Linked DNA regions of Schizosaccharomyces pombe. The gene in region 4 interacts genetically with the main gene of each other region. Each region holds a gene or a part of one and is shown on either strand. Other genes may lie near its edges.

The links.
Region 1: of nrd1 (region 4) and wis1, changing one suppresses a phenotype caused by changing the other (phenotypic suppression), as found in Schizosaccharomyces pombe (one study listed by BioGRID).
Region 2: mutations in nrd1 (region 4) and rlc1 impair growth when combined (synthetic growth defect), as found in Schizosaccharomyces pombe (one study listed by BioGRID).
Region 3: mutations in nrd1 (region 4) and myp2 impair growth when combined (synthetic growth defect), as found in Schizosaccharomyces pombe (one study listed by BioGRID).

Annotation. Positions count from the first base shown.
Region 1 is NC_003423.3:1,143,231-1,148,343, forward strand, and holds wis1 (MAP kinase kinase Wis1), read right to left. Parts: upstream 3,374-5,113; 5' UTR 2,555-3,373; coding exon 737-2,554; 3' UTR 501-736; downstream 1-500. Other genes in the region: ubiquitin hydrolase Uch2, read left to right, coding at 1-43. UniProt on the Schizosaccharomyces pombe protein: Dosage-dependent regulator of mitosis with serine/ threonine protein kinase activity. May play a role in the integration of nutritional sensing with the control over entry into mitosis. It may interact with cdc25, wee1 and win1. May activate sty1.
Region 2 is NC_003424.3:3,884,282-3,890,467, reverse strand, and holds rlc1 (myosin II regulatory light chain Rlc1), read right to left. Parts: upstream 3,207-6,186; 5' UTR 2,899-3,206; coding exon 2,344-2,898; 3' UTR 1,971-2,343; downstream 1-1,970. Other genes in the region: Hsp90 chaperone, read left to right, coding at 1-1,694; protein Ina22, read left to right, coding at 4,198-4,371; SPOM_SPAC926.02 (uncharacterized protein), read right to left, coding at 4,437-5,624, 5,781-5,924.
Region 3 is NC_003424.3:2,546,397-2,556,791, forward strand, and holds myp2 (Myo3-like myosin II heavy chain myp2), read right to left. Parts: upstream 7,308-10,395; 5' UTR 7,270-7,307; coding exon 955-7,269; 3' UTR 864-954; downstream 1-863. Other genes in the region: vacuolar serine protease Isp6, read left to right, coding at 1-357; SPOM_SPAC4A8.06C (esterase/lipase), read right to left, coding at 7,617-9,353; lcb4 (sphinganine kinase), read right to left, coding at 10,377-10,395. UniProt on the Schizosaccharomyces pombe protein: Stabilizes the F-actin cables forming the F-actin ring that surrounds the nucleus during interphase. May work in conjunction with myo2.
Region 4 is NC_003424.3:551,898-560,544, forward strand, and holds nrd1 (RNA-binding protein Nrd1), read left to right. Parts: upstream 1-3,388; 5' UTR 3,389-4,733; coding exon 4,734-6,323; 3' UTR 6,324-7,154; downstream 7,155-8,647. Other genes in the region: palmitoyltransferase Akr1, read left to right, coding at 1-1,042; tryptophan-tRNA ligase Wrs1, read right to left, coding at 7,420-8,607.

The DNA.
Region 1 (5,113 bases), on a different chromosome or scaffold from region 4:
TGAAACTGCAAAAGCGAAATACGCATCTCAAAAGCGACCGTAATATATTACGGCGTTCTTTCTCAAAAAATATTCCACTATGAAGGAATTTTCATTTCCAGGATAAAAATCTGTTATGACTCTAGATTACCTTGTTGGACTTATGTTGGGAGAATTTGTTTCTTTGATATATAAAAGTCTCGTACTTTTTAAATAAATGAATACCTCAAATCTCTTTGAGTAATATATTAATAGTTTAAGTAATTATTATTAGGTCGATATAATATCTATTAACACTTGCATTTACGATGGATTCAATCTCTCTAAGTAATCACCATTGTAGGAAACAGGAGATCATAGTAGCTAAAACGACGGAGCCAGTCAACGAAGTTTTAAAAGAAATAAATTAATACAGTACAAGTAACTTTTACAATTGCAAACTTTCGTTTGCACTTCTAAAGCCCCTTAGTTAAATAAAAAAAAAGTTTTTTATGGTGGACGTAAATGCCTTAAACAAATGTAATAACACATTAAATACCCGTTTTAATTTAAAGCAAAAATGCAAACATCAACTACCGTTATACGGAATCATACCCAAATTATTAAATTTATGAAAAAGCACAAATGCAAAATAGCGTCGGTTCTGCTGAAACATAATTATGGATCACGTAATAGTCATGCATTCGAAATTAAAGACAAACACCAATGCGCATGGGTACTTTAAAACAGAGCAGGCAATTAGAAAGCAGGCGAACCTTTAGCTTCTTTTTTCACCTTTCTCTTTAAGAGCGCCTTTTGCCCATGAAGCCATGTCCACATCTGCATTTTGATATTTTAACAACCATGGATGGTTAGCCAACTCATGATAATCGGGACGCAAAGACGGGTTTTTATTCAAACACTTGTTTACAAAATCACGAGCTTCGGGAGAAAATGAATCGGGGAGAGAAGGTGGATCGCCATCGCAAATCGCCGATAGTTGTGCAAATATTGAAGTATATGATTCAGGTGGATACGGATAAGCTCCTAAAGCCATTTCTAAAATGGTAAGGCCTAGAGACCACACATCAGCCTGTACGGTGTAAGTCAAGACGCCATTGGTAGGTCCACCAACACGAATTCTTTCAGGAGCCATGTAAGATTGACATCCAATGTTCGTTTTGGATATAGAAGCCACAAGATTCCCACTCACGCCAAAGTCACATAACTTAACCTGGCCATTAGAATTTACCAAAACATTAGTAGGTTTAACGTCACGATGAATGATATTATGCTCCTCTTTCAAAGTTTTGAGGCCTTGCACTACAGCATAAGCAGTTCTAGCTAAAACTCCTTCGTCTTTGATACCACCAGCATACAGTTTGTCCATGCTACCAGCATCCATATATTCCATACAAATAAAAACAGAACCTTCCACAAAAAAGGCACCATAAAAGTCAACGATATAAGGACTAACTGCTTTATGTAAAATATCCAATTCCATTATAATTTGATTAAATGTTGCTTCTTCTAAGGACAACCTAATTTCCTTCAAGGCCATAGTGACACCAGTCGGTTGATGCAATGCTTTATACACAACACCATAGTTACCTTTTCCAAGTTCTTCAAGCTTAATAATCTCTGACATATTAATACGAAACGAAGAGCCAGATGAAAAGTTAACACCTTCTGAATTTAACACGGCTTTGTTTTTAAAATTTAAGGTGCCTGATTTTGCATCCAAAATATCCGAAAATGTGGAAAAAGGGGTTTCCGAAACAGCCTGTTTAAGGGTGGGAGGAATGTTTAGGCCACGGCGAGAAGCCATGCTAGACGGACTGACAGGGCTGGTGGGATTGGAATTGGATAAATCGAGTTTTCCAGGTGGTGCACGACGGATTCTCGTTTGTCGATTGAAGGACGTTGGACGGTTGAGTAAAGGATTCCTAGCAGCAGCAAGTGATTTTGCAAGCCCGGACTCTGGCATATTCGGAGACTTTACGGGCGAATTACTTAATCGACCAGCAAGTTGAGAGTTAGGCAAAGGATAACTTCCTCGTTGACCCATACCGACAATAGGGGTAGTTGGACTACTGATCTTGTTGACTACTTCCGGCATTGATTTTGATCTAGATGCATGGAAGGCCTTCAATTTCTCCTGTATATCAGTTGAAAGTCCTCCAGGAAATGGGCCCGGTGGAGTAGGAGGAGATCCAATATTGTTCTGACCAGCTGCTGTAGGAAGTGAACGTCTAGGTTTTTCCGAAGGATCCTTCATGTCAAGGTTAAGAGAGTTACGACTCCGACTGGACGTAGATCTGCCAAGTCTGACCGTAGGCACGGCACGGGGAAGAGGGGGATCGGAAGGTATTTCACGACTAGGAGAAGAAACCTTTGAGTCATTGTCACTGCCACTACTGTTAGAATTTAAAGACAAGGAACCCAAGGAAGAACCAGAAGAATCGGTGTTTGAAGAACTTGAAGACGAAAGAGAAAGGAGCGAGCCGGGAGTACCAACATCACCGGGAGGTGCGGTAGGAGAAATAGACAGCTGTCTCAATGAGCAAGACAAGGGTTGATTATTTGGAGAAGACATATAAAATAAATGTGCTTCACAAACTTAAAAAAAAAGAAAAAAAAATTAGGTAAACTAAATTCCGGTAATATAAATGAAGCAAAAGTGAAGATGAACGAAAGTGAGATGGCAATACAAAAAAGGTATCTTGGGTGAAAAGAACAATTAAAATTAGACAATCAATTACGAGTCGTCTCCGACGAAGAAGGAAAAAAAAAGCGGTGGTCTAAAAAGTCCGCAGGAAGGATATTCCAAGAAAAAAAAAGGAAGTTTAAAGGCAATCACCTACGAGTAGCTTTGTGTAGGTAAATGCCACGGAAAAAAAGGAGGTTTGGAAGGGTTTAAATTTAACAGCAAAAGCCAGAAACTGGAAGAAACAGGGGCTTAGATAATAAATTTCCCAAGGAGAACTAAAGAAAAAAAAGTAAAAAGGTGTGGGTTAATCTTAGTCCGAGAAGTCAATACTTTAAAACCGAGTTATGACCGACGAGTAAGGAGGCAAAGGTAAGGAGAAAAAGTAATAATTCACAAACACGAAATAAAAAGGAAAGAAATTTGAAATTATCTTTCTAAAAGATAACACGTAAGGGTGTGGAAGGAAGAGAAAAAATTCAGAAACGCTTTTCTCTTACAGTAAAGAGCAAAAAAAATTCTGCTCTTTAAAGGAAATGGGAAAATTTAGGGAGGGTGATAAAATAGGAAGTGTAGTCGGTACGATGTAAATAAGATATACACGTCGAAAGGGAATGCTTGAGAGATTAGGAATCCCAGCTATCGCCAGCCGGCTGGGGTATGTTTGGGTATACAAGAAGGTGGAATGGGATGGAGTTGGTGAAGGATAAAAGGATAACGAAAGTCAGACAACACGTTGCTTAATCTTAAGGAGAAACTTTTGCACGTTAGCTTACGTATCAGTATATAAGGATAACGTGGATAAAAAAATGTTTCATCAAAACAAGGGATGGTTAAGGGATACAATCAAATTTGTAAAATCAAAATAACGTGAAGCCAAATAATATGCTGCAGATCTCCGTATAAGCGTAACGACCTGTATGAATCATTCGACAAGATTTCTAACAAGGTATCCTGAGATTTATATGCAAATGGAAAGAATGTACGGCAGAAATAGCTGGTAAGAAATACCTCGATGGATTAATGGGAAAGCACAGGATGATTGGGTAAAATGCTCAACGTATAGAGAATAATACATAGAAGTAAAGAAAAACAGAAAAAAAAAGGGCCGAAAAATATTTTAATGGAAGATAAACACAACGATTTATCGGTCTTGACAGAAGGAATTGAATTGTCCGATAGATATGGTAGTGTTTGATTAGAAAAGAATAAAGAATAAATAAATAAAAACAAAAATAATTAATGATTAGGTGCATAGGGCTTTAAGTTTCAAAGCTGGTATTCGAATGTCAATGTATACTAAGAAAAATCATGATCCAAGGTAAAATGTATAACCAAATAAATAAGAGAAATATAACTAACCTAGTAGCTTCCGTCCTTGAGAGCGATAAAAAAAAGCGAGTTAACGCACAAGTGTTTCGAAAAGGTGTAGTAATGTATAATAAAACATTTTTTAATAATCGTTAAAAGGTTCAGCAAGTGGAATGAAGAGAGTGTGTTATTTGTGCTCTAGAAGCAGCGTAAAAAAAAATTTATTTATTTTTAAATTTTTTTTTTTTTTCTAATTTTTTTAAATTTCTTTTGTTTAAGGAAACACACAAAAATAATGTAAGAGTAGCAGCAAAACTGCTAGGAACATTTTGTTCTATGGAAAAAGACACTGAAGTGAAAAGTGCAACGAAGGGGTAGAACTTTCGTAGGAAGGAAAAACAAGCAAAGAGAAAAAAATTTACAAAAGTTCCTAGATCACTCCATCTATATGCAAATGCATAATGTACGGTGTATGCTCGAACAAAGTAGAAAGGGGGCTATAAAAACGATTTGAGGATAATCCTTTATTAATGAGAAAAAATTTGGAACGTCTAGTTTTGCGCCAACATCAAGGGAAGACAAAAAAAATTTTCATTAAAACAGACTCAATAATGTTCAATTGAGATAGAAGAATACAGAAAGAGTCGAATGATTGAACATGTGGTGAAAAAGGCTGAAGATGAAACTAGATAGAAAGAGGCTGTATTCCCAACATCCAAAAATGAGGAAAAACTAAAGAAGAGAAGGAAAGTGGAATAAAATGAAGAAATTAAAAGAGAAAATCATACGATGAAACTGAGAAGAAGAAGAAGGCATTTTATTTTAATTTTATTAATTTTATTAGATTTCATTTCGTTTGACGCTTTACGGTTTCATGAAATGCCAAATTGCTAATTCTTTATTAGATTTTGGAGTATTTTCATTGTTAGTCTGCGAGTATTTTCATTATTAGTTTGTATTTAAAAAGTTTCATCGTATGTTTCTATAGATGCGTTTTTTTTTACATTATTTGAATTGAATGAAGAATTGATTTGCTATAAGAGAAATTTTTGACTTGGTATGGTTGCTGGCTGGCACCCACGGCTGCGTATGCCACATACCATACAATAGTAGACTAAGACGACTGTACATACGAAT
Region 2 (6,186 bases), 3.3 Mb from region 4:
ATAATGACGATGAGCAATACATCTGGGAATCCTCTGCTGGTGGTAGCTTCACCGTCACTTTGGACACCGATGGACCTCGCTTGTTACGTGGTACCGAGATTCGTCTCTTCATGAAAGAAGACCAACTTCAATACCTCGAGGAAAAGACTATCAAAGATACCGTCAAGAAACATAGTGAGTTCATCTCTTACCCCATTCAATTAGTTGTTACCCGTGAGGTTGAGAAGGAGGTCCCTGAAGAAGAAGAGACCGAAGAAGTTAAGAATGAAGAAGACGATAAGGCTCCTAAGATTGAGGAGGTTGATGATGAATCTGAGAAGAAGGAGAAGAAGACCAAGAAGGTCAAGGAGACCACCACTGAGACTGAGGAGTTGAACAAGACCAAGCCCATTTGGACTCGCAACCCCAGTGAAGTTACCAAGGAAGAGTATGCCTCTTTCTACAAGTCTTTGACTAACGACTGGGAAGACCATTTGGCCGTCAAGCACTTCAGCGTTGAAGGTCAATTGGAATTCCGTGCCATTCTTTTCGTCCCCCGCCGCGCTCCTATGGACCTTTTTGAGGCCAAGCGTAAGAAGAACAACATCAAGCTCTATGTTCGCCGTGTTTTCATTACCGACGACTGTGAAGAGTTGATTCCTGAATGGTTGGGTTTCATTAAGGGTGTTGTTGATTCTGAGGACTTGCCCTTGAACTTGTCTCGTGAGATGCTTCAACAAAACAAGATCATGAAGGTTATTCGTAAGAACCTTGTCCGTCGTTGTCTTGATATGTTCAACGAGATTGCCGAGGACAAGGAGAACTTCAAGACTTTCTACGATGCTTTCAGCAAGAATTTGAAGCTTGGTATCCATGAGGATGCTGCTAACCGCCCTGCTTTAGCCAAGCTTTTGCGTTACAACTCCCTTAACTCCCCTGATGATCTTATCAGTCTTGAGGACTACATCACTAAGATGCCCGAACATCAAAAGAACATTTATTTCATCACTGGTGAATCTAAGCAAGCCGTTGAGAACTCTCCCTTCTTGGAAATCTTCCGTGCCAAGAAGTTTGATGTTCTCTTCATGGTTGACCCCATTGATGAGTACGCTGTCACTCAACTCAAGGAATTCGAGGGCAAGAAATTGGTTAACATTACTAAGGATGGTCTTGAGTTGGAAGAGACTGACGAGGAGAAGGCTGCTCGCGAGAAGCTCGAAAAAGAGTATGAGGAGTTTGCTAAGCAACTTAAGACCATTTTGGGTGACAAGGTTGAAAAGGTTGTTGTTTCTAACAAGATTGTTGGTTCTCCTTGCTTGTTAACTACCGGTCAATATGGTTGGTCTGCTAACATGGAACGTATCATGAAGGCTCAAGCCCTTCGTGATACTTCTATGAGTGCCTATATGTCTAGCCGCAAGACTTTTGAGATTAACCCCAAGTCTCCCATCATTGCTGAGCTCAAGAAGAAGGTTGAGGAGAATGGTGCCGAAGACCGCTCTGTGAAGGATCTTGCTACTATTTTGTATGAGACCGCCTTGTTGTCCTCTGGTTTCACTCTTGATGACCCTAGTGCTTATGCTCAACGTATCAACCGTCTTATTTCTCTTGGTCTTAGCATTGACGAAGAGGAGGAGGCTCCTATTGAGGAAATTTCTACCGAATCCGTCGCTGCTGAAAACAATGCTGAGAGCAAGATGGAGGAAGTCGATTAAATCAAATGCATCTAATGTGTCTTTCCAAAATTTATGCATATAATGTTTTTCTTGGATTAAAGCAAGTTATCCTATACATTGTTAACGATTCTAGTGTCTGTTGTCATTCAAAAATTTCTTTCTACACGATTTTTCTTAATACACACTAGATTACAGGTTGTTTGGAAGTTGTTATAATATGGAATGTTGATTAGTAATATTAAAGTTTATGGATACTTATTAGTACATCAAATTTTGTTTTCGAATAATGTAGTTTATACTACTAACAAGTACAAGTTGGTGCTTAAAAGTTATTTTTTTCTAGTCATGTGAGAGCTGTTTTACAAGGTAGGATAATTTTGATGAGGAACATAGGTATGCTGGGCTAATATAGATTTATTCATACATTAATTGAACCCTCGAATGAAAATATGGTTAATGACATTAAGCCTAAGCTCTAACTCACTAAACACTGCAAATAATAGTAAAGTCGCAGAGAGTAGCTAAGTATTGAGACACATAAAGTATAGGTCACAACGAACATAAATGTATCAAATGCTTTCATAAAAAGTTAAAAGAGAAGAGGAAAATTCGTCTAAGGGAAATGGCTCAGGTTAAAAAGATAAAGTATTAGAGGGAAGAATGTGAAACATATCTGGCTGCTCTTAACTCAATTGCTATCTTTTGACCCAGCAATAGCATCAACGAATTTCTCGTAATAGAATACACCATGACTGGTGTACGAGCGTAAAATAGACTCGACTTCTTGAGGATCCATTCTATCACCCATACTTGACAAAGCATCTCTCATAGTGGAAATTGGAATTTTGCCGGATTGAGTATCATCGAATGTAGAGAACGCTTCTAGTAGATCATTTCTGGGGGAGATTCGACACAGCATACTACCCATCGCAGTGAGAAAAGCGGCTAAATTAATAGGCGGATTTATTGACTCAAACATGTGATTGATTGAATCTTCGGAGGCATCCTGATTCAAAGAAGTAAGCATGGTTTTGACATCCTCTCTTCCAATATTACCGTCACCATCTTTGTCTAATAGGGCAAAAGCCTCTTTAAGTTCTTGAATTTGGGAAGAAGTAAGTTGCGCAAATGCACCAGAAGATGCTCGTTTAGCGGCTTGGGCAGCAACTCTTTGAGAAGATGTTGTATTTGATGAAAATGGGGCACGTTTAGCACCTAAGGAATTTTCCTTCGAAGAGAACATCGTTAACAGAGCAAATGATCAAATAAGATATAGTTATGCTGTAAAGTAAAGTACGGAAGAATTAAGAAATGAAAAAAACTGCTGCCCTTACTGCAATAGCGGTAAATATGAATTTTATACACCGTAAGGCGAGGATATCAGCAAGTCATAAAAAAGGAGTCTAAATCAGTCACTAAATGCTAAGACTTGAAATATTCAAAAGGGAAAGCTAAGAATTCTCTAAGTAAATGTATCTGACAATTAGTTGTAAAAAAATCTATAAATAGACATATAGGAAGTAACCTATGATTGTTGATATTCAAGCTCTTGGTAAGTCTCAGAATTTAACATAGGCATGGAATACTGAGAACAAAGGAGATGTTAGTCTTTAATGACCCACGTTTGGTGCCGTTAAAATTAGAGAAAAGGCGAACTCTCAAGGATTTTTTTTTTTAGTATACATTTAGAAGAATTATATTTATCATAGTGTTTTATTTCTTATGATTATTATTTTATATGCTTAATCAAATCTCAATGTTTGATCAACAATGCCATGAGCATAATAATAATTTAATTTCGAGGGGTTAATAAAAGTTGAAACAAACGTAAGCAAATTTGTCAAGGATATAATGTCATTTATAAGTTGTATACACAGTAAAAAGTAGAATCAAAAAGGCCTCTTGAATTAGCGCTTCTTTTGATTTTATTTATTTACACTAATTTCGCTGAGCTGTCAAGGTTGAACAAAAGTAAAACTCAGTTAACAAAAAGTGAAATTTGAATAAATGAGTTAAATCAAATAGGCCTTGAAATATCTTTTTGCGGGCAAAGACTGAGTAGGCTGGGAATGAAGGAAATAAGGAGTATGACTTTAAGAACCAACTAGCATTATTCGGTTGAATTAAACAAATCCTTATTATAAATAAAAAGTAACAATAATAGAAACTGAATAATTTCTGATTTAATGGACAAAACTAGATAGACAATAGAAATTCTGATTTACAGAGATTTAATGAAAGTCAATAAATATCAAAGCATTGCAGAAAATTGATTTACCGTTATCCTACACAGTTCCGTACAGTCAAAACTTGTCTTAATGGTAATCCTTATTTCGAGCGAAAAATATTGATTTTCTTTTTCTCTTTGTCTTTCGGTATTTTGGAGTTTTGATTCTTAAGTGTTCAACGCCTTTAAAAGGCTCAATCATTTGTGATTTATATTATATCGATTAATTACAGCAGCTACTCCAAATACTGAGTCTGAACTTGCACACCAAAGATATTAGAAACAGTTTTTTTTAGTTAAAAGTCAATTTTTTCCATGTTACGTTGGTCATCAACGTATACGTTCGGGCTATTATGGCTCATCATCGGTAGCGAAGCATTTCATCTGAATGCTCTGAAGCAAGATCATTTGGAGCGTATGAAACAATACGATGCAAAAATTCGGCTAGCGAAACATGAATTTGATGATACAAGTAATGAAACAAAGTAAAACTTTATATTTATAATTGGATTCACTAATTAGCCTGCCAAATTAAGTAAGAAACGTCTGTTTCTTTAAATGGTATTGAGAATGTCTTCTTGAGCAACCTCAGTTAAGGAGTCCAGCATCTTAATCGTTTCTGGGTTGGTCAATTTCTGTAGTTGATAATGCTTTAAGACAATCTCCGCAAACGTTCTTGTTGTCTTTTTGGTTGAATAATCACGGAATGCTTTTTCGTATAATACTTTGGCATTTTTATACAACACAAGTTTGGAGTTTTGAGCTACCATGATGGGGATAGCTGCACGTTGAATCTCTAAGTCAGCTCTAGAAATGAGTATTCTTACATGATTAGGATTGTAAGTGTTAGCCATCTTTAAACTTTTGGCAGCTACTCCTAACATATTCCAGGCTCTAGTCATTATTTCAATAGATGCGCTTTCTTCTGTAGATACGCAGGAATCTAGTAGCGTCTCTGCAAAGTCTATGTATGCATCGGCTTTGTCGCACAGCAATTGAATATGCAAAGGTTTAACAGACGAGTTCGGATCCAACGGGTTTTGCAAGTTTAGCTGTGGTAATTGGCTAAGTTGATGGTCAAAAACTTGCAGTAAATCAATCCATGCCACCTCATTTTCTTTACCACCAAGTACTAAACGTTTGGTTTTCGCCAAGTACCAGTCCATTAGCTTTAATATATCGAGTTTTTCCGTAATCGGTAGCATTATCTGACAGAGTTTCTCAAAATCTGATTCTTCAAGTAACTTGCAACTGCATGCTAAAGAAGCAATTTCGGTAACTAATGTCGATGCCTCTTTGTCTGCTTCTATAAAGTATAATCGTCGAGCCTGTATGTCAGGTATTTCTTCATATTTTTGTTGCGACGATGTTTGTATAGTATTTTCCCATTCAATTCTTTCTCGTTCTTGTAAATCAATGCTATGTGAAATGGATTGCAGTGCTTGCTGGATTTCAGGATATGCCAAATCTTCGCGATCAAGATCCACCCAAATCTCAGCCAAATTAAGATGAACCTGCGCAAGGTTGAACCAAATATCTGGGGCCTCTTGTAATAATAAGGCGTGCTTATGCATCTCAATACTTTTCTGGAGGCATACTTGTGAATCTTTGTATAGCATATCGCAGTTTGTAGCCATATTGAGTAGCAATCTTGCTTTATTAAAACGAGCATCAAAATCATTCGGACATTGTAATAAATATCTATCATATGTTTCAAGGGATTTTTGATAAAATCTTAAACACTATTGCTTGTTAGTTTTAATTTCACGTGCTCAAGTATTGAGAACTCGGCGCAAAAAAGCGTAAATTCTATTTGTTTCTCAAAACTAATATTACAATTCGTATGAATGATCATGTTCAAACGTTTTTGAAATTCACCATTATAGCTTTGTACATACCTTTGCAGGTTCCAATCGCCAGCGATCCCCACTTTCTTCTAGATCAATAGCTATTTCAAAGAGTTCATCTACAGTCGGGTTTTTCTTAGGTTTGGCTTTTTTCGTCTTTAGTCCTTTTAGCACTTGATTTCTAGAGAAACTCATATCTGATATTCCAAAAAATGTATGCAAATGCTTAAAACAAAATAAAATAAAAAAGTTATGTATGAGAAATAAAATGCAATATATTGTAATCAGTAAAAATAAAAGATTGTGACAGTCAACATTAATTGGTAATGGACAATTGAGGTTGCACTAATTTGACATGTCTTTGCATTTTCCTCTACTACCTTGAAACGTGAAAATACGATCACTTTCGTTTTACATTCAACATTCCTTAAATATTTGGAAACATTGTAGTTACTTT
Region 3 (10,395 bases), 2.0 Mb from region 4:
TGCTATTCATCTCCTGCTGCTTCTAAGAAAGCCATCACCGTTGGCGCTTCCACTATAAACGACCAAATGGCCTACTTCTCTAACTATGGTAGCTGTGTTGACATCTTCGCTCCTGGACTTAACATTTTGTCTACATGGATCGGTTCAAATACTAGTACTAACACCATCTCTGGTACTTCTATGGCAACCCCTCATGTTGCAGGTTTGTCCGCTTACTACCTTGGCCTACACCCTGCTGCCAGCGCTAGCGAAGTTAAAGATGCTATCATTAAGATGGGTATTCACGATGTACTCTTGTCTATTCCTGTTGGTAGCAGCACTATTAACCTTCTCGCTTTCAATGGTGCTCAAGAATAGATTTTACTTCATGTTGGATGCATTCGATGTTTTCAATAAGTCGGTGTTTGATTTTCAATACATCGAGTAATTGTTTTATTTTTTTGAAAACGTTTGCTCCTTTTATGATTGTTCTTTACAAACAGTTTATAATGATTGTTATGACAATAAATATTTTATAATGCAAGCCACTGAATCACGTTTAGAATTTTTATACTTGAATGAAATTTTTTTGTGATGTTCTTCCAACTTACAATGTTAAAGTGTAATTGTAAATGTCCTCTTCTTTTATTTGTATTTGTATTTATATTTGTGCCGCTGTTATGCAAGAGCTCTTCTACATTTAATATCGCCGCCTATCTCTTCATAGTTTTCTTTTACAATGTGATTGCTGCATATAACCATTGTACAAATAATAGGGGTAAAATAAAAAGTAAACCGAACTAAAATGCCTTTTACTTGACCGACTTACTTTTTTTTTTGAACTAAAGTATCCTTGTGGTTACTTGTTACGTTGACGCAGAGCATAATAATAGTAATAATAAAATAATTTTAAATTCATGAACTAATAATTTACATCATCTTAAAAAATACATGTCGAGTCTTTGGGAAGCTTGGCTACCTTAGAACGCTAGGCGAACGATTGGACCTCATGGATAATCTACTTTCACTTCTCTTTACTCTTTGACCCTCCAGCAAAGATCTATATTTATCAAAATCGGTTTCCAAACTTTTGACGCGTTCACGCTCTTCTTGAAGAGCATGTTCCGTCCGACGTAGTGCAAATTTCCATTGTGTTTCTGAAGCTTGCACATCTTCTAATTGATTTCTCAGTTGCGCATTTCTTTCCTCCAAACGAGAAACTGAGCTCTGTATTCTCTTTTTATCATCATCAAATTTTGATATTTGAGCTTCCAGTTGACGGATAGTCCTATCGCGATTGCGACATTCATCAATTCCTTTAATTCGTTCGATGTCGGAAGCAGCAAACGATGCTTCCAAATCTGATATTTGCTTTTGTAGCATTCGGACGTCCTTTGATGTTGATATGGGATAAGTTTTAAGATCTAAATCAAACAATTTGAGCTCCAAATCCTTTTTCTCCTTTTGTAAAACTCCGAGTTGACGATGCAGTTGAAGATTTTCTTCTCGATGATTATTACTATCTTTTTGAGTTTTTAGCGCAAACATTTCGATCTGTTTTATGCGTTCAACTAATGATGATAGTAAGTCATCTTTTTGAGCAAGGTTACTCTTGAGTGTTAATACCTCTTTCTCCATTTCAATTTCATCAAAAGGTCTTGCAGAACTATCGAATTTTTTGTTCAATTGCTCTGAAACTTCGTGAAGTTTTCGCTCAAGGTTTCGATTTTCTCTTAAAAGGGTATCTTGATCTTTTCTTAATGTCTGGTTTGCTTCTCGTACTTCTTGGAGTTGTGCAGTCAAAGAAAGAAGTTGGCTTTGGGCATTTTGTTGCGCTGTTGAGGAAGAATTATTGACACGAGAAAGAGATTGTAAGTCTGCTTGAAGTATTGAATTTTCTTTTAACAAATTTGTCTTTTCCAAAACTAATTCGTCAAATTTGGTACGGATATCACCAATTTCCGCATGCATGTGCCGATTATCTTGTCTAATGCGCAAGTTCTTCTCACGTTCTTCTTCCAACTGTACTTTGAAACCATTTAGCTCCTTTTGATAACGTTGAAAGAGTAGTTGATCCTTCTTTTCTCGTTCCTCGAGATCTTGAACACGAATGACATGAAACTCATCAATTTGTTTCATCAGTTTTTCTTTTTGCAGCAGCAAAGTATTATAATCGTTGCTCTTTTCAACGTAAAGAACTTCATACTCCTTTTGTTTCACGACAGCATCTGCCAGTTCGTTTTGCAGATCAGCATTTGTTGTTTGAAATCCGCGAGCGAGTTCTTCAACTTCCTGTAAACGCCCGGTAAGATAATTTTTAGACCTTTCAGCTTTAGAAAGTGAAGATTCTGCATGCTCATTGAGTGACTGGACCATCGCAAGCTGTTCGCGGTACTTGTTAACTGTAGAAGTAAGCTCCTTTATCTTCATTATATTAACTTCTTCTTGCAACCACTCGGTTTCTTCTTCTCCAGAATAATTAGTTATACTACCATCAAAATTGGGAATTATTAATTGAGAAGCAGTGGGAGCCTTTAAAGGAGATGTAGGAACAGAAGGTCCTTGCAACCCATGAAGCAAACGATCTCTTTCCTTGGTTATCTCTCTTAAAGCTTTTTCCGTTGAAAACAGCTTTTCTTCGCTTGCCGAATATAACTTTGCAATAGCTCGCTTCGATGATATTGCCTTTTCCACAAAACCTTTGATTTGGTTTCTAGTATTATTTGGAACATCTTCAAGTAATGGAGCAAAATCAAGCATTTTATCATCACTGCCTAAATTACTAGTAGTTAAGTTTTTAAGTTCCTCATTTTCTTTTAACAAAGATTGTATAAGTTCCGAAAATTTTGATAGATCTTTGTTATCTAAGATTCCAGACTTTGTAGCTTCCTTTAACTTCAAATTGATTTTTTCAAACTCTGTTTGAAGCACGGAATTCCGTTGATTAACGATAAAGGGATCAGGAATACTACTATTTTGATCAAAATTTCTAATCAGTGCTTCCATTTTGCCAGATCTCTTTGAAGGTGAGCCGGGTTGAGAAGAGGGTAAATTGCTGATTTTGCTTGGAGACAAAGGTTTCAGCCCAGTAAATTCCATATTAGATTCAGGATTATAAAGCTTTTTCTGCAATGATGATATTAAACCACTTTGAGCATCAGAATTAGGATTGCTTAATAGCTTCCGAGAATTCATGATAGCTTGAGTATCTTTAAAAATGTCCGGGGAAGGTCTGTCAGAATTTGATGCATTGAGACGTTCCTTTAATTCTGATAAAGTACTCAACCCTTTTTCAAGCTTCCTAATAGAGTTTGGTATGTGTCCCGAAATGTCAGTAAAAGATAAATCCTTAGAGAGGGAATACAGATTGCTAAGTTCTTCTTCAACGGTTAGTTGCAAAGCATCAAGGCTTTTACTAATTGTTTTCAATAATTTATTGTCAATTTTTCGATCATCGTTATTACCATCAATGCGTTTTAGAGGATCACCTGAATGTTTCTCTTCAAATGATGGATGTGGAGAATTTCCATCTAAAGTGTGTTGTGTAACTGACCGATTTTCTGTTTTTTGTTTTAATAGCCCAACTTTACACCTTTCCTTCTGAAGCTGATTCAGTAAATCTGAAATTTTATGTTCATAACGGCTTTTTATACCTTGGAAGTCTATGAAATCACTAGCATTCTTCTCCAAAACACCATTTGTATCTTTCAAATCCAGATTATCAGCATTTAAAGAGATAATTTCAGTTTCCTGATCCTGAATTTGGTATTTTAAGGCCTCAATTATATCACATAGTTCAGAATTTTTTCTACGAAGCTTTTCTTCAGTCGCTATACTTTGCTCAAGCATCTCACTTATCTCTTTAATCCGTTCAGATAACTGGTTTGCTTCTTTCGTATGTAATGATTTAAGCTCTTGAACATCCTTCAAAATTGAAAGCGTGGTCGAAGAAGTAGAATAAATATTCTCATCACTGTTTAAGGGGCCACTTTTTACATCATTAATGTTATGAGTTTTCTCAGGATTTTGAAAAGCTTTATGAAGTTGATCTCTGTATTCCGTGATTTCCTTCTGAAAGATAACTAACTCGGCTTCCTTCTTATTCAATTCACTTTCTGTTTCTGAGTATTTGGAAACAAGACTTGCTAATTGAGATTCGTAAGTACGACATTGGTCTTTTAAGCTTGCGTTTTCTTCCCTTAATTCTTGAACCTTTGTATCATAACTTCGTTGCTTTAATAGTAACTCATCATCAAGTCTCATGAGTTTCTCATTCAATTCGCGAATATTTAAATTCTTTTCGTTAATAGCCTTTTCAAGATTTGATAAATGCTGCGAACTATGTTGATAATCCGCCATGATATTCAGATAGTCTTTCTCAAGCTCTTTATATTTAGAAGAAATCGTTTGCTCGTCCTTCTTAATTGAAGACAGCTTTTTCTCCAATGTAGATGATAAATCGGAAAGATAAGAAATTTCTGTCTGTTTGTTGGCAAGGTCCTCCTCTATGCTTTGCTTCTCTGCATACAAAAACTCATATTTTTCATCAGCAATAGTTACTTGATTTTCCAAACTTGACAGTCTCTCATGAACAACTTCAACCCGGCTATTGGCTCTTTCTACCAAAATGTCCTTTTCATGTGCCAGAGCTTGTTCCTCTTGCAAATCGTTAGTCAATTGTAAGACTCGTTCTTTGGTAATAGTTAATTCGTTTGCAACTTCCTTGGTACTTTCCAATTGATTCTGTAAATTATTTATGAGTGCGTCTTTTCTTCTTAAATACTCATCAGTCTGGGTTGTTCCCAATAACGGTTTAAGATGCAGAAAAAGATTCCACCAAGGATGTGGCTTCAATAACTTCAACTGCCTCAAGTTATGCTGTAGAAGGATAGCTGCATCTTGCCTATGATTAAACCGGTAAAGTCTCCGTCTTGTCAAAAACCCACGAATGCGAGCTGAAAATGAATTAAATATCACCCGCAGTAAAGCGTTTCTGCGATCCTCTAAAGAACCCAAGACACTGGCTTTAAAAAATACCTTTGTTTCACCCAAACGGTATACGGTACTAGGTAATTTTAATTCATTGATGATCGTTATTGTTGCCTTTTTTGCTTCGACATATCCTCTCTTTAATGACTGCGAAAGAATCCCATAACGAGCTCTAAATTCTGTATAAAATAGTTTGTTTGGAAATCCAGTTTGAGCAATTCTAATACCCTCCAGTACACCGTTGCATCGAAGTTGATGAAGAACGAGAGATTTATCCAAATTGTGAGGCTGCTTCAAATTGTTTGGAATAATGCATCTGACAAAGTGAGGCTGAGTTGCTTCGAGTTGGTGCATAAGACTAGAAAGCTGTCTCCTATGACGCTGCGACACAGTACGAAAGATTCCTTTCTTTTCAATGTTATCTCGACCACTAGCATTTGACGAATAATCATCAAAAAGAGAAGACACATGACTGTTAGTAGATTTGAACATTAGTGCGGCAAGACATGCATTTAGAGGATCTTTGTTTTTCTCCAGCCAATCTTTGGTATCATATTCGACATCACCAGCATAATGTTTTAAAACAAAGCCTTCACTAGAAAACTTTTTAGGACGGTATATATCGGATTTACCCTTAAAAAGAAGGTGAAGTTTTTCTGTGAATGTAGCATCAGTAGCCATTGGCATAACACAATCCTCGTCGAGGCAAGAAAAAATACCAATGGGCTCAGATTTTTCGATAGCATCTATGGTGGGCTGCAAATCATTTCCGTAGTCAATAAAATCCCATTCGATGCGTTCTTGTGTATATTCTTCTTGTTCCAGAACGAACATGTAATGATTAAAGAATTGCTGAAGCTTTTCATTTGTAAAATTAATACAGAGTTGCTCAAAACTATTAAAAGTGAAAATTTCAAACCCAGCAATATCTAAAACCCCAATGAACCCATCATGTTCAGACTGAGAATAATACATAGTCTGATTCAGACGTTTCACTAAATGCGCAAAATTACGCTCATAAAGGCCTTTGGCTAAGGATTGTAGTGTATGGACTACTTGTTCACGTGTTCTTGCCGTCACAATCCATTCTCGTCCAGCTTTGGACTTTGGGTGTAAAGCTGCATTAACAAATCCATCAACAGGGATTTCGAGTAAATGGCATAATTGATCAATTTGCGTTAAGGAAGGAAATCTAGCTTGCCCCGAACGATCAGATGCTACTTCAATATTTCCTATATGAAGAATTGAAGCTATAATTAAGAACAAACTGTGAATTTCGTTATTATCAAACCCCAAAGTTCTGAGACCAAAGCATAATTTTTGAAATTCTTTGCCATCATCGACTCCATTAATATGCTTGAGACCATTTTTTAAATATGAGTAATGGTCAACATATCGATCAAGGAAAAGACTTTCAAGCAATGATCCATCAGCACCTCGAAGTAGTTGATAAAAGACGTGATAATTGCGTTCATTGGAGGAAGGATGTATAACGCGAGATTTTTCCAAAAGGTACCAGTCTAAATTCGCTCCAACGATGCTTCCATTATTAGAAAATTCAATTCGTATGAACTTGCCAAAGCGGGATGAGTTGTTATTCCGGACAGTCTGAGCATTCCCAAAAGCCTCCAACACAGGATTCGTTTCAAGGATTTTCTTCTCCAACTGTTGAGAATCGCTTGTGGAAGCATCAGTGACCGATGTTAGGTACTGAATAACCTTTTTAGTAGTTTCAGTTTTTCCAGCTCCTGATTCACCAGTAACTAAAATAGATTGATTGATCCTCCTTTCTAATAAACTTCGATATGCGGCATCAGCTGTTCCAAAAATATGGGGTTTAGTTTCTTTAAACTGTTTAGATTGGTATTTTCGCACAACATCATCGCCATAAATTGGTAAATGACAATAGGGGTTTACAGCAACGAGAAACAAGCCTGAATAGGTATATATTAAATCTTTCTCATAACGCTGAGTAAGGTTGTTAACTACTGATGGTTCGTTGAGACATGTCAACGCAGCCATGTCATCAACCATATCAAACTTCGGTGGATTTACTTTTTCAGCATCAAATCCATCCACAATTCTTTCCGAGCCATCTCTTTCTAATTTCACCCTATATTTTTCTCCTAAATCTTCAACTATCCAAGCTTTCACGAATGATTCCTTCGAATCAGGAATCCAGATCCATGTCCGTTCATCAAAAGACGCGTCTTTCACGGCATTGCAATGTTTTTCAGCATCTACTAGCTTTTTGATAATATTATTGTTGTCGTTAGAGCCATTTTTTGAAAGATACGACATTAAATTAAGAAGTATAACACATTGGCAATGCTGCAGCTGTATAAATCATGACTGCGCAGCAATGTAAATATTTATGAATGTTACTATGGCAACGAAATACAAATGGATTGTTTACAATACTATGTAAGAGAATACTTATAAATGGTTAAACAATAAATTATACCTGTTAAAATGTAGTAAGCCAGTCGTCTTTTGCCAGGATATTAGGCACGTATGTGGATATCCCTTAGTAATCTTCTGATAAAATAAATAAGTTGAAGTAAAGTGAATAACTAAAGAACTCAACTTCAACGAAAAAGGAAATCGAGAAGAGATAAAATAAAAGAATGAAAACAAGTCTCAGGCAATTATTGTTTTTTTTCGGGGCTAATTTTACAGTTAGCTACCAAGGCAGAAAGTGGAGGATTTTCCCCTTCCATCGTATACTCTTTGGGCTTGACTAAATACCCATTTAAATCGGCGTGTTTAAATTCAGCGAAGTACCGTGCTGGCTTTTTAGTGTCTTTACTGAGCAAGATTAATTCAACGTCAATCCAGCGAATGAGTGCTTTCACCTGTATAGTACCTAAAGCACTTTTCGGTAAATTTAAACATTGAATTTCATCTTTAGGCTCCATCAATCGTTCCTCACCATTTCGCGAAATTCTTAAACGAACCATATCTTCATTAGCATGAGACGGATTACCATCAAGGTGTTTATTAGGCGATACAAAAGACGAATCATGCTGCTTTAAACACCAATAAGCAAAATTAGCAGCACGTCGGACCATAATCCCAGCTTCTTTTACAAAAGGAAGAGCTGTAACGACATGACAACAATCATCGTACATTTCCAAACGAACCTTTGTACGCTTACCATTGTATACGTCTGTATTCATTTTGTGAGCGATGTACACTATTTCGTCTCGTAAGCGTTCGCCCGATCCACCCAGAACAAGTGACGGCGGTAAACCACCAAGGTTTTCAGTGAAGATAGGACTGATCAGAGGATGCTTTAAATTTGCATTAGAGGTATAAAACTGTACTTGAAAAGGAAATGTAGTCAAAATGTTAGGGTCTAAACGAGAGTCCACATTGTCAAAATCAATACGTGCATGTTCTTTATCCATCTCTTGCAACACGGGGATCAAATTTTTGATGGTCTGAATTTTTTTACGTATGCTGTTTTCAATAAAGTTAGTCAATTCTTGTTTCTTGGAATAATTTAGTAATTCCTTTTCGGATATCGTTGAGAAAGAATCTAAGTTAGTAATGGGCCAATATCTGCTGGCTCGGTGATGAAATCCTTCGCTTGGAATATAGTCAGCAGCATCATCTGCAACTACAGAAGGAAGACTATGAGTCAAATCAACCCAAGGGGAATCATAAACTACTCCAGCAGGTAAGGGTAATTTTGAATCTCTAATCAAAACTAGTGATGCAACGATTAAACCAGCACCTGAGCTATCGCCCATAAATATTATATTTTCTGGCTTGGTGCTTTTAAGTAGATACAAATAAGATGAAAGTACATCATGCAAAGAGCAAGGAAAGGGAAATTGCGGTGCTAACCGCAGATCTGGAGCAAAGGTTCTAGCACCCAGAGCTGCAGTATGACGCTGAATATGATAAGCATTAGTACGAACAGTACTTAAATAATGAGCACCTCCATGAACATAAAAAATAACTTTATCACATTTGAGATTGTGCCTTATATGATGTCGCCTTTCAATCCACCAGGATTTTAAAGGTGACTTTCGATAAAGCCACCAGTTTGAGCCCCCAAATTGTTTAATGCCTTCTGGTCCCAAATAGTTTCGAATGTAAGAAGCAGAATCTGATTCTGACTTTGAATCTATAGGTTGTGATGTAAATTTAAACTTAAACTCATCCGTTAAGCTCCTTGAGCAAAAATCTTGAACAACTTCTACTTTATAATCCCTGCTATCAATTAAAAATTTTTTTAAAATCGACACTCCCAAATCAAGCATGAAAGTTCTATTCTTGCGTAACTCATGATGAGCCAGGAAACGGAATGCTTGACTAAACGTTTTAGATATTCCATCATTAATTGATTCGACAGTTAACTGCTCCTTTTTCAGCATTGTCTAAAAAATAACGGTTTTTTAGCAAAAAATCGCATAGATTTATTTTTTAACTCTATTAGAAGGATAATGATACAAAAGTATTAAAAAGAACAAAAAATGCTGCCAAAGAGAAGCATAACATTTAAAAGAGACGTTGTATTTATATTAATTCATAAATGCTGCAACTCTTGGCCTTACTACAGAGTAATGCTCTCGCGATTGTTAGTTTTATACTATGCAAAAAATGCTTCGGCCTTCAGTAAAACTCACTAAATTGTTTTTGACGAGCTTTACAACTAAGATGGGTATGTTTACATTATTTAGCTGTAAGTTAAATTTACTTATTTTTTTTGTTTCCAATAGTTTGACTGGTAAGTATTCATCATATTTTAATATCTATATATGCAGATTATCTATGCCCACCAGAACAAAACGCATTATACGAGGTATAAATTTGAAACACAATAAACTGGCGCTGGACACGAGTAACTTCTTCTAATGCACTTCATAATATTATGAGTATCATCATATGAATAGGAGTTTTTAAGCCTGTTTTATTATCCGTCGTATAAGCAATGTAATGAAGACATAAATGTTTAATAAACAAATTCTGATAACGTATAATTGACTACCTCTAATTCGACTATTGAACAATTAAAACCTGAAGTACAAAATGATTAGTGATAAATCCAGTGCATCGCAACACCACTAAACGTGCTAACGAACAGGAATAGAAGTGTACTTCTTCAGTCTACGATAACGTTTTGTAATTTCCTAATTTGCAAATTAGGATGGGCGAAAGTACAAAGAAAAAGAATACTTAATGCTCTTGCTTTTGTTCGGAATCTTTCTAAATGTCGTATATAAATTCGGAGGAAAAGAACTCTTAGTTCGCTGTTTATTAAATACAATTAAACGAAATTAAAACAAGTCTAAAATTATAGAGCCTAAGCGTGGCTTAATTACAGAAAACTAATTAATTAATGAAAACCCCAATAAGTTGGACAAATTGAAAAAAAAAAAAAAACCACTCGCTGTTGCTTATATATCCAACAATTGA
Region 4 (8,647 bases):
ATATATTACAACATGCATTCATGCGAATATTGACATAGTACATTTCTATCTTGAAACTCCATTCTTGGCTGGCATATTTTCCTCAATTTTCTTCTGGGTATGGTGTCATTCTTTGTTATATATAGTACCTAAGACGTTACCCATAAAACCTCTCTCTTCTCTTTTATTTGTTTTGATTTCATTTACTTGTATTGGATTATATGTTCGTACAGCTTTTCAAAATCCTGGATATGTAGACAAAATTGGTGCCGTCGTTCAACGTCGTGAAGAAATTAGCAAATTATTGGACAAGGATCTTTTTAATCAATCTCATTATTGTTTAAAATGCTTTCAAGTTAAGCCTCCTCGTTCTTATCATTGTGGAGCTTGTAAAAGGTGTATTAATCGTTATGATCACCATTGTCCTTGGACTGGAAATTGCGTAGGGGCACGGAACCATAGAACATTCCTTCTTTTTGTCTTCACATTGTCTACTTTAATTCCTATTTATTTTTACGTTGCATTTTATTATTTACAGAATATCCCCATTCAAAAAAAATACGAGTCGTATAGGTGCCTTTTTATTTCTGGTACCATATGCCAGTGGTCTTTAAAAGACATGTTTGTGTTAGTTGCTTCTCTAACTTTGTTTGTGAATTGGTGTTGGGTAGTTGTTTTAGCTTTTACCCAGATTTGTCAAGTTGCTCACAACGTGACCACAGCCGAATTCCGACTATTTAAACGATATGGAACTCTCGTTCCTCCTACAAAGCAAAATTCATCTCCAAAAAATGGTCACGGAATTCATGGAAGCTTTCTACGTACAGTATGTGGTATCCTGGGATTGGATCAGTGTATATTGTTAATTAGAGAATCAAATTGCTTTGTGAGATGTTTCCCATCGAGAGCTGAGTTAGGTTCCCAAAATTCTACCTCTTTGTCTCGTAATCTTTCCACAGTCAATCCATATGATGAGGGTAGCATAATTAAGAACTGTAAGACATTTTGGAAGCAAAACTTTCTTAACGATGGTCGGCAAGATGAGGCAACAAGACATGTTTAAATTGTTGTCGATTAAAAATTTAATTATAAACATTAAGAATGGAACGTTAGAATGCCTGATAACGTTAAAAAGTTATCACTTCATCATTTAATTTTAATCCCTCCACGGATCATCGTTGCGGGAGTGTTGAGTTAAGTTAGACTAGAATATTCGCGATTCACTCTGAATCTCATTAAATGCTAGCTATGTCACGTATCGTGAAATCCTTGATTTGTAGAACGGCTCGTTTCTTATTCCAAGGTCGTTGGACCCTGTTGCAACGTGAGGGAGGATGAGATTGAAACAAGTAAAGGTTTACTTGAACTTCAAGTTTTCTTGTGTGCGTGTGAACTGATGAAACCTGGCGTCTTGCTATTAATTTTTGCAATGAAAAGATTTTTGTTTCATTTTTGCTATGTAGAGATTGGCTATATATGGCTAGATCATAATTTTTGCAGAAAATTGGGCTTTAGGATTGTTTAATCCAACAAAAAATATCAATCTTTTATAGCGGCTCAAGTGTTCTTGTTATCTTTATGAGATACGCTTTTGTTATTTAGAAACGTGTATAGGTCTCTAGTTTTTCTTTTCTTTTCTAGTGTAAGAAATGGGTAATGGAGGATTCACGAATACATTACAATAAGACTATATTAGTAAAATAGAATACAGTTAAGTGGAAAAGATTACAGAAGAAACCAAGTCATTAGTAGTTCGTTGAAGATATCGCAATGTAGTTTGAAACCTAATATCTGCTTCTTTACGTGTTCTAATTACTTTAATATTAATTAATAAAACAAATTGTATTGCTTTTTTTTATGAATAAGGACAATTAGTGCTAAACATTAAGTATACAACCAAAATTTTTACGTAAACTGACAAAATTTACAAACAATTTAAGTAGAGTGTTATGAACGAGCATATGCCTTTTTTCTACTTTATGGCATTTGTTTCTCTGCTAACCCGAGTTTCTAAAAAAAAAAACGAAAGCCGATGATCACGGTGAATCAAATGACTAAACGCCTTGGCCGGTAAATATGTAAATCTCCGTAGCAACCTTTACGCCTTGACAATCGTTAGTTTGCAGAGTTGAAGAAAAGTCGATATGTTTAGGTCAATAGCTACCGAGTCTACTTTTCTACGCTACAGCGGCATTGAAGTTAGCAGAAGACTCAATTTTGCAGGAGACTATTTAGCTATCTGATCAGTCAGTGTAATAATTAGAGAGCGCTTTCGCTCACCCTTCTTGGCGGCCACCATAAAGCGACTCACAGCGAAATTGTGTATAGAGATTAAGCAACAGCGGAATATTTTGATAAATACAAATTAGATAGTCAATGAATTACTAAGCTGAATAGAATGAAAAAGAAAGAAAAATCCAAAGTGAAAATTGACAGTTACTGAGCTTGTCTACGCCCCCTAAATTTCACGCGGAAAATATTCCTCTACCGTGCAAGGCGGAGACTTTTGAACAATGTGTTAGCTTAGGATTTAAGTCACATCTTAGCAAAGCGTTCAGGGAAGAAGACATACGGTCAAAGTTATCATTTTTGTGTGATTTTCATTATTTATTGTTGCACGAGATAATTTAAATTTTCATGCAGAAGATTTATTTTTTTTTTTGGAATTTATTCTGCTCGGCCAACATTCTTGATTATTCTTGTTTACATTTTTTTATGAGCGGCTTATCGTTAGATATCACTTGTCACTTGGCACTACATGCTTTTTTCTATGAATTATTCCTTTGATATCGACTAATCATCTGAAATAGCGAGGCGAGATTTCGACAGAAGCTTTACCCCCATAAAAATTTTCGTTGTGTTTATACAAAGTGGAAGATGATTACATGTCTGCATTTGTATCAAGTTAGTCTAACTATTTGCTTGAGTCCCACGCTGCTTAGCACACAATCACATACGTACGTGGGCGAAATTGTGTGAAACTCTCGGGGAGCCACTTCGGCTGCTTATTTATTTACTTTTATTTACAACGCGGCGTTGATGGAAAAATTCTAAAACAGTGTGTGAAAACTTGGTTTGCGCGTGCTTGTTAGTGGGCCATTCTAATATATGTCTATACTGGCATATATTTACTTTATTTTACCACTATTACTATTTAACTCATTGCCGCAATCCATACAAGTGCATTCTTTTTTGTTTGTTTTCGTTGCCATGCTCGTTGTCAAGTGTTTACATTCGATTGTGCACTCGCGCTCTGTCGTTGAAGGAACATCCAGAATTAATGTTACCTTGGGCGGCATATTCACATGTTGGTGTACGCTGGATAATCGTTAATGGCATGTAGCTTGTTTCTCTCTATAAGCACGCAGTAATATTAGTGCAGTAACGAAAAGCCGTTAACGTGCTCACTACCAAATACTCAACCACACGAATAGCCGCTGGCTATATCTAATATTCTTTCTCTTTTCATTTCTTTTTTCTCAAAAACATATTTCTTTCTCTACCATTTGCATTTATATGAGTGTATTACTTTGAAGCTTTGATTTTTTTTGTTTCGCGGTATACTTATTGATTATTCGCTAATACTGGTACTTGTTTCTCTTATTTTTTTTCTGTTTCTCCTTTATTTGCTTTTTAAGCAACCTTTTAAATCTACCTGTGAAATAAATATCATCGCCTTTTTTCATTTTCTTTTTTCATTTCCACATTCTTTTCTCTTCTTACTCCTCTGTGATACTATATTTTGGGTCGTTAGAACGCATTGACTTCAATCTACTTTCTCTTCCCTGCATTTTTACCAAGCCTTCCGAATATATTTATTCCAGTTTTTCTATATTCTTTTTTTTTATTTTTTTTACTTCCATTGTACTCCTCATAATCATTATTATCTTGGAAATTTAACTTTCCCTTTTCATTTTTTTCTTCTCTAAAACTCCTTCTTTCACTGTCGACCATACTGTTGACTTTTCTCCTCTTCTTTTATAAGATAAAATACACTTCTACGCGTCTTTAGAATTCTTTGATTGATTATTCTTTCGTACTACTTTGAATTGTATACTTTGCTTTTTTGGTCATACTCTTGTTCATTTCACTTTGTTTTATTCTCCATCAATTTCTTGGAGTAAGTCTAATACTCTTGTTCGGTATCTTTACTTAGTAAGCTTAATTTTTTAAAAAATTAAAAAAAAAAAAATTTTTACCATTGTTAGGCTCATATTCCTTTCCACATCATTCAAGATTTTGTTGAGGTTGTTGTGATCTGCTTGTTTCATTCGCATTTTTTCCTTCCATTTATTCGCTTTGCCTACGTGCCTCTCAGTCTAAGTTTCCTTATTCAGTTTGGGAATTACGAGTTTTCTTATTTTTAGAATTAAAAAATACGTTGGACGTTGACAGTTTTCTTTTGGCTAAGATTTTCCGTTGCTATTAATTATTGTCTTTCTCGTCTAATTGAGTTTTTTAAACAGACTTGTTGTTAGCTTTAAGCGATATTGTTTAACTATTCATTTATTACCCGCTTGGATTTTTATCGTTAAACGCATCATAAGTTGCCTCCTAAGTTCGTGAGCTTTATTGGTCCGATTTTGGTTTTCGATATATTTCAAAGTGATATAAATTGTAAGATATACCCCTTTATTATTTGTTACCAAACGTCACTCTCGTTGATTTCTTTATTTTACATTTCTTCCTTTGTCAATCAAGCAGCTGTGCTCTTAGTATAATTCTTTCTTTAACAGTTATTGATTTCGGTCATTATGTCTTCTAGCAGTCCCTCTAGTCAGTCCCGTCTTTCTGTCCCTGGAAGAACTCCACATTTACCACCACTTACTATCCCTCATACTGTAAGTGCTGAAGGTCTCGCTACACCAAACACACCGCATGCTCTACTCCCTACCGGGCTTCTTATGGGGAGTCCTTTTGTTCAAAGCCCAACGAGCTATACTTCCATGCATGGCTTGCCCTTTAGCACTACCCAAATGGCAGCGGCTCCCGCTCATCCCACGACTGGCTATAATGTTTCACGTGTTACCAGTCCTAATGTTGCTAACTTTGCCCCGGGTTACTTTCCACTTCCGAATAACACTACACAACCTGTTAAAACTGTGTATGTTGGTAACCTTCCTCCCAATACCCCTATTGATGAGATTCTTTCTTGCGTGCGTACGGGACCAATTGAATCTGCATGGATTCTACCTGAGAAAAATTGTGCCTTTATTTCCTTTTTGGATCCGAGCCACGCTACTGCCTTTTTCCAAGATGCTGCCTTGAAGAGATTGACAATTCGGGGTACTGAAGTAAAAGTTGGTTGGGGCAAGAACTCAGCCTCGAATTCATCTGTACTACTTGCAGTCCAGCAATCTGGCGCTTGTAGGAATGTATTCCTCGGCAACTTGCCGAATGGTATTACTGAAGATGAAATTCGTGAAGATTTAGAACCATTTGGACCTATTGATCAAATCAAAATCGTAACTGAACGAAATATAGCTTTTGTTCATTTTTTGAACATTGCAGCTGCAATCAAAGCTGTCCAAGAGCTACCATTAAACCCCAAATGGTCCAAACGGCGCATTTACTACGGACGGGATAGATGCGCTGTGGGTTTGAAGCAACCTGCTTACTTTTCTAAAGGCCAAGTCGGCGTTGTTGGCGGTTATCCCGTAATGGGGTATCCTCCCCCAAGCCCGGTTCTCCAAAAACCGGATCTTATCATGACTGGGAATCGCACTGTTTACATTGGTAATATCCATGCTGATACTACTATTGAAGAGATATGTAACGCTGTTCGTGGAGGATTGTTACACAATATTCGTTATCTTCAGGAAAAACACATTTGTTTCGTAACTTTTGTTGACCCTGTTTCTGCTTTTCGATTCTTTGAAATGTCCAACATTCATGGTTTGGTCATTCGCAACCGTCGTTTAAAGATAGGTTGGGGTAAGCATAGCGGCCCTCTTCCCTCAAATATCGCTTTAGCCGTTGCTGGTGGTGCTAGTCGTAACATTTATATTGGCAATGCTGATGATTCTTTGACTATTGAACGCTTAAAAGAGGATTTTGAGGAATTTGGCGAAATTGAGTACGTCAACTTTTTCCGCGAAAAGAATTGCGCTTTTGTTAACTTTACGTCGTTGGCAAGTGCGATTAATGCGATTGATCGAATCAAGCAGAAGAAGGGATATGAAAACTATCGAATTAGTTATGGTAAAGATAGGTGTGGTAATCCACCTAGAACTAATTCCAAGTCAGACGTTCTTTCTGTCTCTTCTGATATGAGCATGCCTGTTGATCTCGTTGTTCCTCAGCAAGGAATATCCGGGTTTATGCCAACAAACTCCAATATTTAAATATTGTAGAGTGTTTTGCTCTTAAACGTGTTCGATATTTTTATGGATAAAGGTTTTCCAGCGCTTTGAGTTCATATCAATTTGTGCTCATAAAACACCTTTTATTGACGAACTTTTTTATTGCTTATTTTACAAAATCACTTTCTTTTTTACATTAGATTATTAAGGGTAACCATTTGCATTCGCATTACAAAAGAAAAAGTATTCTTTTGTTTAAATGACCTTACTTGCTATTGTTTCAACATTCCTTCGTTTTACTTTCTCTCGTTTATGCCCCTTACTCAACGTGGCCCATACTCTTTTCTTCTTACTTTGTTTCATTTTTACGCATTATAAAACCTTCATTGTTGAAGTAGCAGTTTTTTTTTGTTTTATTTGGCATTTTTTCTACTATGTTAGAGGTTATCGAGTTTGTATTTCTATCAAAAGCTCGATGTCCTTCGTTTTTGATTCGTTTTTGCAAACAATATTGACGAATCTTTCCACATTTTCAATTACAGTTTTAAAATGTACTTCTGACTTCTATTTTTATTTTTTTTTTCATTCTACATATTCTTATATATTTATGTTTCGATTTTCAACGTTATTTCTTTATCAAAAGTGATTGCTGAAGACTTCAACGGTGTTGATTAATACTTAACAATAGCTTTAATTTGATTGTCTGGTCATATTTAAATGCTAGTTTGTTAATTATGGTTTATTTGTCGCGTTCTAAATGCGTTTTTCAACCCATTATTGTCTACTAGTTCCAAACCGAAATTGTTCTAATGATCTTATGTATATATTTTTGGTCTAGGTAAATATACATCTCTTCTTTTGCTCATCCTACACCGTCGTTGAGAGATTGTACAAAGTTCGGTAATTAATGAATGCAAACATAACAAAACTCTACCGTAGTAATGAGTTTTGAAAAGGCATCAGTATTTGAGTCTCTATTTATATTGTGCGTTTGGTGCTGTAAATGTTTTCCTCATTTATTAGAACAGCTGAACATTGTAGCACAATCTAAAAACAGTTTATTCAGTTTCATTGTATAATGCAACTTAAACAAGTATCTAATTTACACTATTTGTAAAATGAAAGAAAGACAACGCATCTACCACTCTAACTTACGAGATCCATCCATAAACATATCAAGGGTCGCCTCATCAACTTTCGAACGTGCTGCTTGAAAGTCAGAAACGAACTGCTGTAAAAGCTTAATACACTCTCCTTTCATTTCTCCGGTTGAAAGAGTACCAGCCTTATAGGTATTGTACAATTGTTTCAACTTCTCGTCGTCATCTAGGAAAAAAGAAAGATATTGATATGCAACATCAACGTCTGGGTTACCTCCTTTTTCACGGTGGATTTCGATTGTAGCGCCACCTCCAGAGAAAGCATGCCTGTTGATCTTATTTTTAATTTTGTTTGGAGTATCAGTCATGAAAATCGCAGAAGAATCTTTACTGGCACTCATTTTTGATTGTGGTCCTTGGAGAGCTGGGAAAAAGCGACTATGCAAAAGTGCAGGCTTCTTAAATTTCAACCTACCAGAAACATCACGCGTCAAGCGGAAGTAGGGATCCTGGTCGATTGCACAAGGAATCAAACACGGGATATCTTTGGCGCCATTAAAGATATGAGGAAAGGAGCTGCTGAAGCTAGGAGCGGCTTGAATTGACGCAAAATGTATTTTTCCAATAGAGTCACTATCGGTGAAGCCGAAACAAGCCTTGGATTGGTTTGCAGTAATGCATTTCGCAATACGAACGACATTTTGATAAAACGCACCTCCAACATAGGTACTGTTCATGAAAATAAAAGTCTTTTTTGGATCAAACCCAACAGCAATAATATCCTTAGCATTCTCACGAGCAAATCGTTGGCAATCCTCTAAGGAAACACCTTGCTTAAACAAGAACTTCTCATCGTCCGTTAACTGGATGACCAATGGCACTTGAAAAACATCCTGAAGCCACTTGCAAAACATAAAAGGAATCATATGGCCTAAATGCATGCTGTCACTACTTGGTCCTCTACCTGTATACAAATAGAAAGGTTTCTTCTGCTCATAGCGGTCCAAAATCATATCAAAATCACGATGGGAGAAGAAAGCACCTCTACGAAGTAATAAATGAGGCTTCTTTCCAGTTAGCTTTTCGAAGCGCTCAAGTTGTTCAGGAGTAATTTTCCTAGTGCCAAATTGAACGATTAAGCGCTCATAATCGATTCCTTTCTCTTCACCATCGACTATAGAGCCTTTTACATCCCAGGGCGTCACAATTTGTTCCTCAACAGACATTTTTCCTCTTCAAAAAGAAACTGTTCAAGGCGCACTACGT